Callithrix jacchus: one gene and its partners. The protein of the gene in region 4 interacts with the protein of the main gene of each other region in a biochemical or structural test. Links are inferred from orthologs where the notes say so. Each region holds a gene or a part of one and is shown on either strand. Other genes may lie near its edges.

What was found.
Region 1: the proteins of MSN (region 4) and SPN form a complex in vitro, tested with the Homo sapiens proteins (2 studies listed by BioGRID). The link is inferred for Callithrix jacchus from reciprocal best matches to the Homo sapiens genes MSN and SPN.
Region 2: the proteins of MSN (region 4) and ICAM3 form a complex in vitro, tested with the Homo sapiens proteins (2 studies listed by BioGRID). The link is inferred for Callithrix jacchus from reciprocal best matches to the Homo sapiens genes MSN and ICAM3.
Region 3: of the proteins of MSN (region 4) and LRRK2, one has a biochemical effect on the other in vitro, tested with the Homo sapiens proteins (9 studies listed by IntAct). The link is inferred for Callithrix jacchus from reciprocal best matches to the Homo sapiens genes MSN and LRRK2.

Annotation. Positions count from the first base shown.
Region 1 is NC_133513.1:29,836,019-29,840,311, reverse strand, and holds the start of SPN (leukosialin), read left to right. Parts: upstream 1-1,445; 5' UTR 1,446-1,557; coding exon 1,558-1,560; intron 1,561-4,293. UniProt on the Homo sapiens protein: Predominant cell surface sialoprotein of leukocytes which regulates multiple T-cell functions, including T-cell activation, proliferation, differentiation, trafficking and migration.
Region 2 is NC_133523.1:9,527,413-9,529,910, reverse strand, and holds part of ICAM3 (intercellular adhesion molecule 3), read left to right. Parts: intron 1-2,193; coding exon 2,194-2,498. UniProt on the Homo sapiens protein: ICAM proteins are ligands for the leukocyte adhesion protein LFA-1 (integrin alpha-L/beta-2). ICAM3 is also a ligand for integrin alpha-D/beta-2. In association with integrin alpha-L/beta-2, contributes to apoptotic neutrophil phagocytosis by macrophages.
Region 3 is NC_133510.1:35,425,062-35,428,631, reverse strand, and holds part of LRRK2 (leucine-rich repeat serine/threonine-protein kinase 2), read left to right. Parts: intron 1-1,650; coding exon 1,651-1,769; intron 1,770-2,895; coding exon 2,896-2,965; intron 2,966-3,472; coding exon 3,473-3,570. UniProt on the Homo sapiens protein: Serine/threonine-protein kinase which phosphorylates a broad range of proteins involved in multiple processes such as neuronal plasticity, innate immunity, autophagy, and vesicle trafficking.
Region 4 is NC_133524.1:62,810,849-62,814,418, forward strand, and holds part of MSN (moesin), read left to right. Parts: intron 1-478; coding exon 479-562; intron 563-1,269; coding exon 1,270-1,416; intron 1,417-2,898; coding exon 2,899-2,995; intron 2,996-3,570. UniProt on the Homo sapiens protein: Ezrin-radixin-moesin (ERM) family protein that connects the actin cytoskeleton to the plasma membrane and thereby regulates the structure and function of specific domains of the cell cortex.

The DNA of each region.
Region 1 (4,293 bases), on a different chromosome or scaffold from region 4:
CTACAGGCAGGAGCCACCAGGCCCAGCTAGTTTTTTTTTTTTAATTAGTAGAGATGGGGTTTCACTATGTTGGCCAGGCTGGTCTCAAACTCCTGACCTCAGGTATTCCTCCTGTATTTGGCCTCCCAAAATGCTGGGATTACAGGCATGAGCCACCACACTGGCCTGGCAAATTTTTAATTTTTTTTTTTTTTTTTTTTTTTTGAGACGGAGTTTTGCTTGTTACCCAGGCTGGAGTGCAATGGCATGATCTCGGCTCACCGCAACCTCCGCCTCCTGGGTTCAGGCAATTCTCCTGCCTCAGCCTCCTGAGTAGCTGGGATTACAGGCAGGCGCCACCATGCCCAGCTAATTTTTTGTATTTTTAGTAGAGACAGGGTTTCACCATGTTGACCAGGATGGTCTCGATCTCTTGACCTCACGATCCACCCGCCTCGGCCTCCCAAAGTGCTGGGATTACAGGCTTGAGCCACCGCACCCAGCCCTAATTTTTAAATTTTTTATAGATGACAGGCCTGAGCCACTGCACTGGGGCCTCTCTCTTATCAGGTAGTCCTTATAGTCCTTATCAGGCTTTGACTGTGGGCCCCTCACACTGTCTAACTTAACCCTCCCAGGAACTTTGAAGAATACTATTATTATTCCTATTTCACAAATGAAGAAACTAAAACAGAGAGATTAAATGCCTGACCCAGGGCCATCTAGATGGCAGGCGACGCAGGCGGGAGTCAAACTCAGGTATCCCTGCACCCCCCATCCTGCTTCTGTGGCCTCCCTGCCCCCAGGCTTCTGCTGGCCCCTGTCTACCTTGGAATAGGAACAGCCCCTCAAAGACCTGCAGGGAGCTGGACACCGTGGCTCACGCCTATAATCCCAGCACTTGGGGAGGCTGGGGTGAGTGGATCACCGGAGGTCAGGAGTTCAAGACCAGCCTGACCAACATGGAGAAACCCCGCCTCTACTAAAAATACAGAAATTAGCCGGGCATGATGGTGGGCACCTGTAATTCTAGCTACTCAGGAGGCTGAGGCAGGATAATTGCTTGAGAACCCCAGAGGTGGAGGTTGCAGTGAGCCAAGATCGAGAAACTGAACTGCAGCCTGGGCAACAGAGATTCCATCTCAAAAAAAAAAAAAAAAAAAAAAAAAAAAAAAAGAGACCTGTAGGGGGAACTGGGCCTGTGGTGGGCAGAACTATTATCTCAGGAGAAGCAGCAAACCTCTGGTGACCGCTGATGACCTCAAGGCTGGGTGGGCAGGGCCTTCACATCAGCTCCAGGCACACCCAGCCTCCCTGTCCCTGGCCTCACCACACCCCTCTCTGTTCTCCACCCTTTGGCCTCCTTGCCTTTGTCCACCGTTCTGCAGCCTGACACCCTCTTCCTTCTCTTAACCAGAGAAGTCTGCAGTCAGTAAACATCAGCCAGTGCCTACTGTGTACCAAGCACTTCCTGGGTGCTGGAGCCCTGTGGAAGCACACACGCATAGCCATGAGGGCAAGGGGCTGGCATTCCAGCGTGGGGAGAGCAACAGAAGCAAAATAAGAAGGTCCATTACAATGGTGAGTTAGAAGACGAGAAGTGCCATGGAGAGAAAGCAAGGAGAGGGGTTACAGTCCAGAGGGAGGGGGTGCGATTTAAATAGGGTGGCCAGCTGGGCTCTCTGGCTCACACCTGTAATCCCAGCACTTTGGGAGGCCGAGGTAGGAGGTTCACTTGAGCCTAGGAGTTTGAAATCAGCCTGGGCAACAAAGCAAGACCTCATCTGTATAAAAAATTTTAAAATTAGGCCGGGCATGGTGGCTCACGCCTGTAATCCCAGCACTTTGGGAGGTCAGGGAGGATGGATCACTTGAGCTCAGGAGTTCGAGACCAGTCTGGCCAACATGGTGAAACTCTGTCTCAATTAAAAATACAAAAAATTAGCCTGGTGTGGTGGCACGTGCCTGTAATCCTGGCTGCTTAAGAGACTGAGGCAGGAGAATCGCTGGAAACCAGGAGGAGGAGGTTGCAGTGAGCCGAGATTGTGCCACTGCACTCCAGTCTTGGAGACAGAGTGAGACCCTGCCTCTCAAAAAAAAAAAAAAAAGAATTTCCAGGCTCATTTCTTACTTTCCCTGGCCTAGCTGTGGAATCAGCCACTTCCCAAGGAACCCTTGTTCCTTCAAGGGCAGTGATACTTATTTATTTATTTATTTATCGAGACAGACTCTTGCTCTGTTACCCAGGCTGGAGTGCAATGGTGTGATCTCGGCTCACTGCAACCTCTACCTTCTAAGTTCAAGGGATTCTTCTGCCTCAGCCTCCCAAGTAGCTGGGATTATAGGTGCCTGCCACCATACTCGGCTAATTTTTGTATTTTAAAAGTAGAGACGGGGTTTCACTATGTTGGTCAGGCTGGTCTCAAATTCCTGACCTCAAGTGATCCACCTGCCTCAGCCTCCCAAAGTTTTGGGATTACAGGTGTGAGCCGCCGCGCCCGGCCAAGTGGTATTTAGAAACCAAGATCTGGATGTCAGATGGCTGAGTCCATTTTGAAGGTAGAAATAGCAGAATTTGCAGATAGATTGGATATGGGGCATAAGAGAAGGAGAGGAGTCTCTAGCTTTTTATTTTAAGTGTTTAATTTTAATTTTTAAAAACTAGAGAGAGAGTTTTGCTATGTTGCTCAAGCTGGTTTCAAACTCCTGAGCTCAAGCAATCTACCTGCCTTGGCCTCTCAAAATGCTAGGATTATAGGTGTGAACTGCTATACCCAGCATCGCTATCTACCTATCTACCTATCTGTCTATCTATTTATTTTTGGGACAGGGTCTCGCTCTGTTGTCCAGGCTGGAGTGCAGTGGCAGGATCTTGGCTCACTGCAGCCTCCACCTCCCGGGTACAAATGATTCTCGTGGCTCAGCCTCCTGAGTAGCTGGGATTACAGTTGTGTGCCACCCCACTCAGCTAAGTTTTGAATTTTTAGTAGAGACCGGGTTTTACCATGTTGGCCAGGCTGGTCTCGAACATCTGACCTCAAATGATCCGCCTGTCTCGGACTCCCAAAGTGCTGGGGTATTACAGGCGTGAGCCACTGTGTCCGGCCAACCTAAGAGGTCTTTAGCCTTGGCCTTTGGCCCTTAGACGGACTTGGCTTAGCATCTCAACTCTAGCACTTACTGGTTGTATGAGTCTGGCCAAATCTCTCAATCGTTTTATTTTTCAGATTCAGTTCTCAGTTTCTTCACCTGCAAAATAAGGGTAGTGGTACGTGTTTCACAGTGCTGTCCAGAGGAATAGATGCGCTGTGAATGGAAAGTGCTTGGTCCTGAGGCTGGCTCATTCAAAATGCGTTGGGCAGCTGGCTTAGCTTCTCTACACCTTGGCTTCCTCACTGGTAAAATAGCCTTGCTCTGGGGAGCCACTGGGGCCAAACACTGAGACCCTTTGGTGCTGTACCTGGAAGACGGCGAGAATCAGTCTGTGACCGTGGCAATCAAAGTCTTCTAAGTGTTGCCTTTTTTTTTTTTTTTGGGATAGAGTTTCACTCTTGTCACCCAGGCTGGAGTGCCGTGGTTTGATCTTGGCTCACTGCAACCTCTGCCTCCTGGGTTCAATAAATTTTCCTGCCTCAGCCTCCCAAGTAGCTGGGATTACAGGCACCCGTCACATGCCCAGATAATTTTTGTATTTTTAGTAGAGATGGAGTTTCGCCATGTTGGTCAGGCTGGTCTTGAACTCCTGACCTCAGGTGAACACCCACATCGGCCTCCCAAAGTGCTGGGATTACAGGCATGAGCCACAGTGCCTGGCCCATTTCTGTCTGTTTTCTTTTTTTTTTTTTTTTTGAGAGAAGGAAAGAAAAAAAAATAAGTAAAGGAGAGGAAGAAAGAGGAAGAGAAAGAGGGAGAGTAAATGGAAATATTGCTTTATTTTGAAAAAAATTGGGTATTAATAATGGCCAATCAATGTTTCATTTAAACTTATGGGTAGGTGTGATGTGGTATTGACAAGAATGTATATTTTGTGTATTTGAAGTGGAGAGCTCTATAAATATTTATTAAGTTTACTTGTTCTGGATCTGAGTTCGAGTCTTGGATATCCTTATTAATTTTCTGTCTCATTGAATCTAAGTCTCCTATCTGGGTGTTAGGATCGTTAGCTCTTGTTGTTGCATTGATCCTTTTACCACTATATCTTTGTTGCTTTAAAATCTATTTTATCCGATACAAGAATTGCAACTCCTGCTTTTTATTTATTTATTATTTATTTTTGCTCTCCATTTGGTTGGTAAATCTTTCTCCATTCCTTTG
Region 2 (2,498 bases), on a different chromosome or scaffold from region 4:
TTTTTTTTTTGAGACACTCTTGCTCTTGTCGCCCAGGCTGGAGTGCAGTGGCATGATCTCAGCCTACTGCAGCCTCCACCTCCTAGGTTCAAGCGATTCTCCTGCCTTAGCCCCCTGAGTAGCTGGGATTACAGGCATGTGCCACCACGCCCAGCTAATTTTTGTGTTTTTAGTAGTGAGTAGTTTTGCCATGTTGGCCAGCCTGGTCTCAAACTCTTCAGCTCAAGTGATCCGCCCACCTCAGCCTCCCAAAGTGCTGGGATTACAGTCATAAGCCACCTCGCCCAGCCTTGTTTTTTTGTTTTGTTTTTTTGAGACAGTCTGGCTCTGTCGCCAGGCTGGAATGCAGTGGCACTATCTCAGCTCACTGCAGCCGCCTCCCGGGTTCAAGCAATTCTCATGCCTCAGCCTCTGAGTAGCTGGGATTACAGGCACATACCACCATGCCTGGCTAGTTTTTGTATTTTTAGTAGAGATGGGGTTTCATCATGTTGGCAAGGCTGGTCTTCAACTCCTGGCCTCAAGTGATCCACCCACCTTGGCCTTTGAAAGTGCTGGGATTATAAGCATTAGCAATCATGTCTGGTCTGAGGCCAGGGTTTTGTAGGTGTACCTGGGAGGGCACTCAGCCTGGGGGTCAAGTCTCCCGTGACTGTGCTAGAGTATCCTCAGAGGCTGCCACAGGGCTGGTGAACCAGGAAAGCCCTGAGTGCCCAAATCTGATTGGAGAGAACTGAACTAATCTCTGGTAGAGGCCAAACCAGCTGTTCAGGCCAGAGGCTGGGAGAGGCCCACAGTGTCCCTAAACATGACATCCAGGAGGCATGTCTGTGGTTTGGGAGACCCACATTCTAGCTTGGGATCTGCCACTTACTGATTGTGTGTCCTTAAGCAATTCACCTTCCCTCTCTGGGCCATATATTTCTCCATCCATAAAAGAGAAAAAAGCCAGGTGCAGTGGCTCACGCCTGTAATCCCAGCACTTCAGGAGGCTGAGATGGGTGAATGACTTGAGGCCAGGAGTTCGAGACCAGCCTGGCCAACACAGTGAAACCCCATCTCTACTAAAAATACAAAAATAGGCCAGGCGTGATGGTTCAGGCCTGTAATCCCAGCACTTTGGAAAACTAAGGCAGGCAGATCATCTGAGGTCAGGAGTTTGAGACCAGCCTGACCAACACGGCGAAATCCCGACTCTACTAAAAAAAAAAAAAAATGCAAAATTAGCCAGGAGTGGTGGTGGGAGCCTATAACCCCAGCTTCCTGGGAGGCTGAGGTGGGTGAATCACTTGAACCCAGGAGGCGGAGGTTGCAGTGAGCCGAGATCGTGCCACTGTACTCCAGCCTGGGTAATAAGAGAGAGACTCTGTCTCAAAAAAAAAAAAAGAGAGAGAAAGGGCTGGGCACAGTGGCTCATGCCTGTAATCCCAGTACTTTGGGAGGCCAAGATGGGTGGATCATTTGAACTCAGGAGTTCAAGACCAGCCTGGGCAACCCGGTGAAATTCCGAAAAAAAAAAAAGACCGGGCCTTGTGGCTCACCCCTGTAACCCCAGCACTTTGCCAAGCTGAGTAGGGCAGATCACAAGGTCAAGAGATTGAGACCATCCTTGCTAATATGCTGAAACCCCCATCTCTACTAAAAATACAAAAGTTAGCTTGGCATGGTGGTTCAAGATTTTAGTCCCGGCTACTCGGGAGGCTGAGGCAGGAGAATCACCTGAACCTGGGAGGTGGAGGTTGCAGTGGACTGATATGGCGCCACTGCACTCCAGCCTGGCGACAGAGGGAGACTCTGTCTCAAAAAAAAAAAGAGAGTAGAGAAGATTTCAGTAGGTTGTTGTGTGCATGAAGGTGGATGACCTCTTAAAGGTCTAAGGAAAGATATCAACAGGAACTTTATCTTAGTCATAAACTTGAATCCCTTCCTTCCTCATTTTGTTTTTTAATTAACTGCGACATCCTTGAGAACAGAAAATTTTGTTTAGCACCTGGCAAGGTGTCTGACAACATAGGAAATGGTAATCACCGCACTAATGATAATAGCAGACACCGTGACTGGCCCAGTTCTAAGCCCTCTTAAATTTATTAACTCAAAGCTCAAAGTTCTCAGCAGGGCAGCCCTGTCTCCACCCCCACCCCTGGGGGATGGGTTGCAGGACCCCCTAAGTGCCATCTTCCCTTCCTCCCTCAGGGCTCCCGGAGCGGGTGGAGCTGGCACCCCTCCCCCCTTGGCAGCCGGTGGGTCAGAACTTTACCCTGCACTGCCAAGTGGAGGGTGGGTCGCCCAGGACCAACCTCACGGTGGTGCTGCTCCGCTGGGAGGAGGAGCTGAGCCGGCAGCCTGCAGTGGAGGAGCTCGCAGAGGTCACTGCCACTGTGCTGGCCGGCAGAGGTGACCACGGAGCCCATTTCTCATGCCGCACAGAACTGGACCTGCAGCTCCAAGGGCTGAGACTGCTCGTGAACACCTCAGCCCCCCGCTGGCTCCGAACTTTT
Region 3 (3,570 bases), on a different chromosome or scaffold from region 4:
TGAAGCTCTGTTGTTGGGTATATGAACATTAAGAAGTATATTTAAAACATTTTTTAATGAGGTAACCATTTTATATTAATCTAAGTTTGCAAGTTAGTATCATTTTCTTCTTCTGGTAGGATTCCCTTTACGTTTCTTGTGCAGATCTTCCAGAAACCCATATGCAGATAATTGGAGCTCGTTTTCTGTAACTACCCCAGAACTCCCAGCTATCTGTCTCCATAAATGTTGATCTCTATGTCCTCATCTCAGGAAAGCCATGAGGCTGTTTAAATTTCTTCTTATGTATATGGCCCTTAAATTATCTCCAAGCAGAAGGCCAGAGTGATATAGGACTCACATAATTTGTTTCCCTTCTTTCCAGTATTACATAGTCCTATGCTGTCTGTTGACCAGTATCTGCATTCAGTCATTTAATATACTTGTCCAGTTTTCTTGTTGTTTATGGCAGTAGGTTAAGTTCACACTTGTTACTCCATCATGCCTGAAAGAACTCTCTTCAAGTATTTTTAAAGAAAGCATTAGAAATTTTAACATAAAATAAGTATAAAATGCACTATGCTGCTTGTACAGATAATGTGCTAATAGACATTTCACAAACATATAAAGTAGGATAATTATAATTGAATGATCTTTATAATTATGTAATTGTTATTATAAATTCTATTGTATTAAAATTCTTAAGCATTAAAACAATTTAAATTATAGAACTAATTAAATTTGTAATGAATCAGGCAGGAACTGTTTATATCAGGATTTATACTAAATATCATAAAGGTGATTTTTGGATACGTAGATTTTATAATTTTGTTTTGACATAAAATGAATTCTTTGTTTTTCTAAGATAAAGAGTAGGTGAATTAAAAACCATAAATAATTTTTCACAAATGCATTCACATTGTTTATCTTTAATATGATTTATTTATTGATTTTTTTCTGGAAAATATATTATTTTGAAAGTTCTGCCTTTTCCTTATTTCATAAAATAATTATTGCCAGCCAAATTCATTGTGTTTATTTTAATATCATTCCATAAAAGAAACCATGAAATATGATATTCAAATAGGAATATATTCAAAATTGCTGACTTAAATAATTTGTGTGATTATAACATTTGAAGCAAGATTTGAAAAATTCATAAGAAAAATTCAGGTAGTTCACCCACTCTCTTTCCCAGTCTGCAGGACCTCATTGCAATTGTCTGTATAAAAAAATTCAGAAAAACAGAAAGTTGTCACATTGATCAGATGGCATACAAAGTTTCTCTGCTCTCTGTACACACATGTATTTGGTATAGCATGTGTAACCACTGATTGATTTGGCTCTTTTCTTCTGGACTATGAGTGTCTCTCAGAAATGGATTCATTTTTTTCCTGCATATTATTATTCAGTGCTTAACCAGTGTCTAGTCTGTAACAGCCATTCCATAAATATTTATGGGCGAAGAAAAATGTTGTTGAATTTTTTTAAAGTGAAAACCAACATGGCTTATCAATCTCTATTTTAAGGATTTTACAGAGGAAATGGACTGTGAAATTTCCATTAATAAAAATAGGTTTAATCTTCCATGATTGAACTATGATACTAGGATCTTATGATCGAGTAAACGTTTCGTACTCACCTTCATGTTATTTTATCATTTTAAAATAGGAAGTGAAGGCTCATTCCTTGTGAAAAAGAAATCAAATTCAATTAGTGTAGGAGAATTTTACCAAGATCTTGCATTGCAGCGTTGTTCACCAAATTTGCAAAGGCATTCCAATTCTTTGGTAAGTTAAATTGTGATTATGTTGTGTTTTGCTGGTGACATTCTCTTGATAACTAGGATTTATGTCAAAGCTAGGAACAATTGGTAGGGATTTCCCTGATGCATGAAAACTGTAATTTTGAAATGTTTTATACACACACACAGACACACACACACACACACACACACACACGCACACATGAAAACATATAAGTTGTAAATGATGCTAAATTCACATTTGTAGTCTTTTGAGTATGTAGGGTATGACTTTGTTTGGGACATATATGTACTGACAGTACAATTCAAGATGATTTTCTTCCTTCTTTTCAAAGCTCCATGTCTGAAAAGAGCCCAAGCTAGACCTGTACCTAATGATGTGGGTTGGTCCCATGAATACTTTAGCTAGAAATCTTATGGTGATTTTTAAGAAACCAGACAGAAGTCTGAAGGACACTGAACAAGATGGAGTAGCATAGTATCATTCATTGTTCATTAAAAAAAAATATATATATATATTAGTGTATTGAAAGTCATTTAATTTTTTAGACACAGTTATTATTTCAACCTACTGTCTATTTTTGAACTATGGCAGGACTATGCCATATTTGCATGAGGAGTTTGATAACTCTAGTTGAAAAAATTGGGAGCCATCTTATTTTCAGGTTCACTTTGGAAGATCTATTCTAACCTATGCTCTAATTTTGATTATAGCTGAGTACATATGAGGGTTGTTTTATGTTAATTCTAGATTTTAAGATGGGTGAAATGAATGACTATAGTTGAATAGGTTAACTTTGCTCTCAGTCTTTATGTATGCTCTTTCAAATTTATGTAAACAGCTTAGTTATAAAAAGTAGTTTGATTAATGAGAGAAATTATATGTATATAGCTTTTTGACTCAACCACTCTGTTTTTCAGTTTCCTTATATTTAAAACAAAGGAGAAAGAGTAGGTCTTTCTAAGGTCATTTGAGCACTGAACTGGATTGTTTTCTTTTATCTTCATAATTGGGTTCTTAGTTTTTATTTGCCTATTTTTTTTCCTTATTATAAATACCATTTAAGCCCATTAAAATTTTGTGTTTCTTTCCTTATAAAAATGTCCTCTTCTCCAACAAATGACAGCAATACATCATTATTTTTTAACAGGGACCCATTTTTGATCATGAAGATTTACTGAGGAGAAAAAGGAAAATATTATCTTCAGATGATTCACTCAGTAAGTATTTGGATGTAATCATAAGTACATAGATATTTTGGGCAGAATGCAATGTTTTGTTGCATTTCCTCCAATTATTCAAATACTTTTGGTGACAGTTTCATCTTACATAATCTAAATATGTATTTACCTAATGATTTCTTCCATAAGCTGTAGAAAAATGAAATATATATTTAAAAATTTACCTTTCCTGAATATTATATAACACTTTAATACATTTTTTGCAAATTTTCTGAAATGTAGATAATACCTCCACCAATGCCACTCTTCATCCTCTTCTCCAGTTTTCTTTCTTTCTTTTTTTTTTAACGCCACTTACACCACCTGATGAAATGTTGTTTATTTACTGTTCATCTCTGCCACTGGAATGCAAACTACATAGTTTGGTTTTCTACTGAATCTTCAATGCCTTGAAGAAAGCTTGATTACTAGGAGGTGCTCAGTAAACTTTTACCACATGAATTTAAATGATTTGTTTATATTTCCATTGTTTGTTTTTGACAAAAGGGTCATCAAAAGTTCAATCCCATATGAGGCATTCAGAAAGTATTTCTTCTCTGGCGTCTGAGAGAGAATATGTTACATCACTAGACCTTTCAGCAAAT
Region 4 (3,570 bases):
TTTCTCAAAGCCATCAAGACTCAATTCTTTGCTCTGTAGCCAAAGGCCATCCTTTCATCTCTGAGCACTATTGTTATAAACATAAGCTGTTTGTCCCAAGAGGATCTAGGAGAGAGTGTACCTGGCTCCATGAGGTCCATCCCTACTGTTAGCCTCTAAAGTCAGCACAAACTTCTGATACATTACTGCTATGCTTAGGGACTACAGCACATCATTTAATTTTGTGGATAAAGGTACAAAGGAAGATGTTCCTTTTGTTTTTGATCATCCAGTGTTGTAGCTCTCTTACCTTTCAGGCAATTCTTTATGTCTAGTTTTATACATTCTTGCTATAATTTCAGTCCACTTCCAGTGTGATCTCAATTGGTTGACTCTGCATCCTCTTTGCATCAAACCTGTAGAAAGCTAAATGGGCTTCCCTTCTCTCCTGCACAGGGGCTTTGTGTTTTTAACTACTCATCACTTATTGTCTTTCCAGAGTCCTGGAACAGCACAAACTCAACAAGGACCAGTGGGAGGAGCGGATCCAGGTGTGGCATGAGGAACACCGCGGCATGCTCAGGTAAGCTTGCCCCAGCAGTGGTGGGCCTCACTTCCCTTACAGGGAGAATGATAATGCATTCTGAGAAGAAGAGACGGATGACAAGGGACATTGGTGGATGTGGGAGAAAGAGGAAACAGGGACAATAGAAGTCAAACTAGGACCATTACAGGGCTGTTTTTTGTTTGCTTGTTTTGTCGAATGGTAGTAACTGGTAGCCCAAACAGTTTTGACTATCAAGAAATGGAGGGGACCTCAGGATGTCCAGGAAGCTGCTGGGCCACCAAGGACTACCCCGCTCCTCACCAGAAGGAAATGAGGAAGGAGCTCTTAAACATGACAAAGCATTTTTGAGGGTTGTCTAGTTGCAGAACAAATATCATTTTGCCATCACTACACTCTGAGCCCTGCTAAAAATGTACCTGTATAAGAGGCTGTCATAATGAATGAGAGAAGGAAAATTGCTCCTATGGCAGCCAACATGCCAGAGGCCAGCAAGGGTCAGTCCATCTTTATTCCCTTTGGGAGCATAGACCCTAGGTTTTTGCTAGGAGATTTTGCTTTGCAAAACTCATGTTGTGCTCTGTTCTCTATCATCTACTTGCTTTTTATCCACTTTCCCACTCCTAACAGCAAAATCCTTGTCAGAAGTACAGCGCAAGCAGGCTTTCTCTCTCTGGGTCTGACTCCCAGGCTTCGTTTTTGACCCGCAACTCTGTGTCATTTAGGGAGGATGCTGTCCTGGAATATCTGAAGATTGCTCAAGATCTGGAGATGTATGGTGTGAACTATTTCAGCATCAAGAACAAGAAAGGCTCAGAGCTGTGGCTGGGGGTGGATGCCCTGGGTCTCAACATCTATGAGCAGAATGACAGGTATATCTCAGATCTCTTTTAGTTTGTTTAGGTCACTTTTACATCTAGGTTTCACCTTTCACCAAGGAGCATGGCCATACCTCTTGGGTCTCACCTCAGTTCTTTTGTCTACCTAATTTAGTCCAGCCCAGATGATTTCACAACTTCCCTTAGGCCTCTAAATCCTGTCTTGACTAGACTCACACTGTCAACTATAATAGTCACCAGCCACATGGGGGCTATTCAACACTTGAAGTGTGGCTACTTTGAATTGAGATGTGCTGTAAGTGTAAACTACACACTGGACTTTGAAGATTTAGTGTAAAAAACAGAATGTGAAATGTCTCAATATTTTAAAAAATATTTATTTACATGTTCAAATGATAATATTTTAGATATATTAGGTTATTTAAACTTACTATAATTTTATTACATCTATTTCTTTTTACTTATTTTCATATGGCTACTAGAAAACTTAAAATTATATATGTGGCTGGGTGTGGTGGCTCATACCTGTAATCCCAGCACTTTGGGAGGCTGAGGAGGGTAGATCACCTGAGATCGGGAGTTTGAGACCAGCCTGACCAACATGGAGAAACCCTGCCTCTACTGAAAATACAAAATTAACCGAGCGTGGTGGCACTTGCCTGTAATCCCAGTTACTCAGGAGGCTGAGGCAGGAGAATTGTTTGAACCCAGGAGGCGGAAGTTGTAGTGAGCCGACATCGTGCCATTGCACTCCAGCCTGGACAACAGGAGCAAAACTCTGTCTAAAAAAAAAATTACATATGAGACATTCATTATGTTTTTATCAGATCACGCGGGCCTAGTTTATTTTATTGGGATATGTAATTGGTCTCATATGATGATTATGTGTTTGACCTATAATCCACTCACTGTAGTCTTATCTCACTTGCCTATATTTTTCACTTCATGTGCTCTTGGTGAGGATGGAGATCAATAGATTATTGTTCCATATAACTCCTGAATCTTGGAGTTCATTATTTACCTTCTCTCTAACTTTTGTAAGCTTGGTAGAAGAGACTCAGTTAAATAGAGCTGGGGATTCCCTTGAGGAACTGTTACAAGTTCCGTGCCTCAAACAAAAACATAACAAAACAAACTTGAGATGAGGAATCATATGTTAGTTGTATCAGGAGATCCTTTAGTAAACTCTCAGTGCTGGCAACTGGCCTGGTGGCATGTGATGACACTGGCTGAGCTGGCACTGAGTCTGTCTCCCCCAGAGAGAAGTGTTTGTTTGGCCAGGCTCAATGGCTCATGCCTGTAATCCCAGCACTTTGGGAGACTGAGGCAGGAGGATTGCTTGAGCCCAAGAGTTCAAGACCAGCCTGGGTAACATAGTAAGACCTCATCTCTATATATTTAAAAAAAGAGATAGAAACACAGAGGCTTGGGTGTGACAGTGAGGGCAAGCCACCAGTACTCTATGTCCTTCTTGTCTGGCCCTTGTCCTGATGTTATTGGTTTCCATTTCTACAGACTGACTCCCAAGATAGGCTTCCCCTGGAGTGAAATCAGGAACATCTCTTTCAATGATAAGAAATTTGTCATCAAGCCCATTGACAAAAAAGCCCCGGTGAGTGATTCCTCTTTCTGATCAAGACTGGTATTTGCCAAGGCCTGCATAATGAACAATCATGCTATTCTATTTTTGTCTTCCTTTTCTGAAGGGTGTGTGTGTGTGTGCACGCACGCATGTGTGCACGTGCATGAACAAGAAACATGAATAGAGATTGGGAATGGAGGGGGATGTTGAAGCCAAGAAATGGCCAGCAGACATTCTGTACCTGTTACCACTCTGCTGCCTGTTTCCCTCACTGTGGACGAGGGAGAGCCACAGGCAGTCTTAAGCACTGCTTCTTAGCTATTGTCTCTGCTGCATTGAGGTTCTGGGGTGGAAACAGAATGCATCTCATATTTCCAAGCCCCTGAGTCCCAAAAGTGGACACTGTTCACATATTTGATTGTTTTTTTTAAGATGGACTATTGCTCTGTCGCCCAGGCTGGGGTGTGGTGGCATGATCTGGACTCATTGCAACCTCGGCCTCTCAAGTAGCTAGGATTACAGGCATGTGCCACCATGCCTGGCTGATTTTTGTAGTTTTAGTAAAGACAGGGCTTTTTTGTTGGCCTGGCTGGTCTTGAACTCCT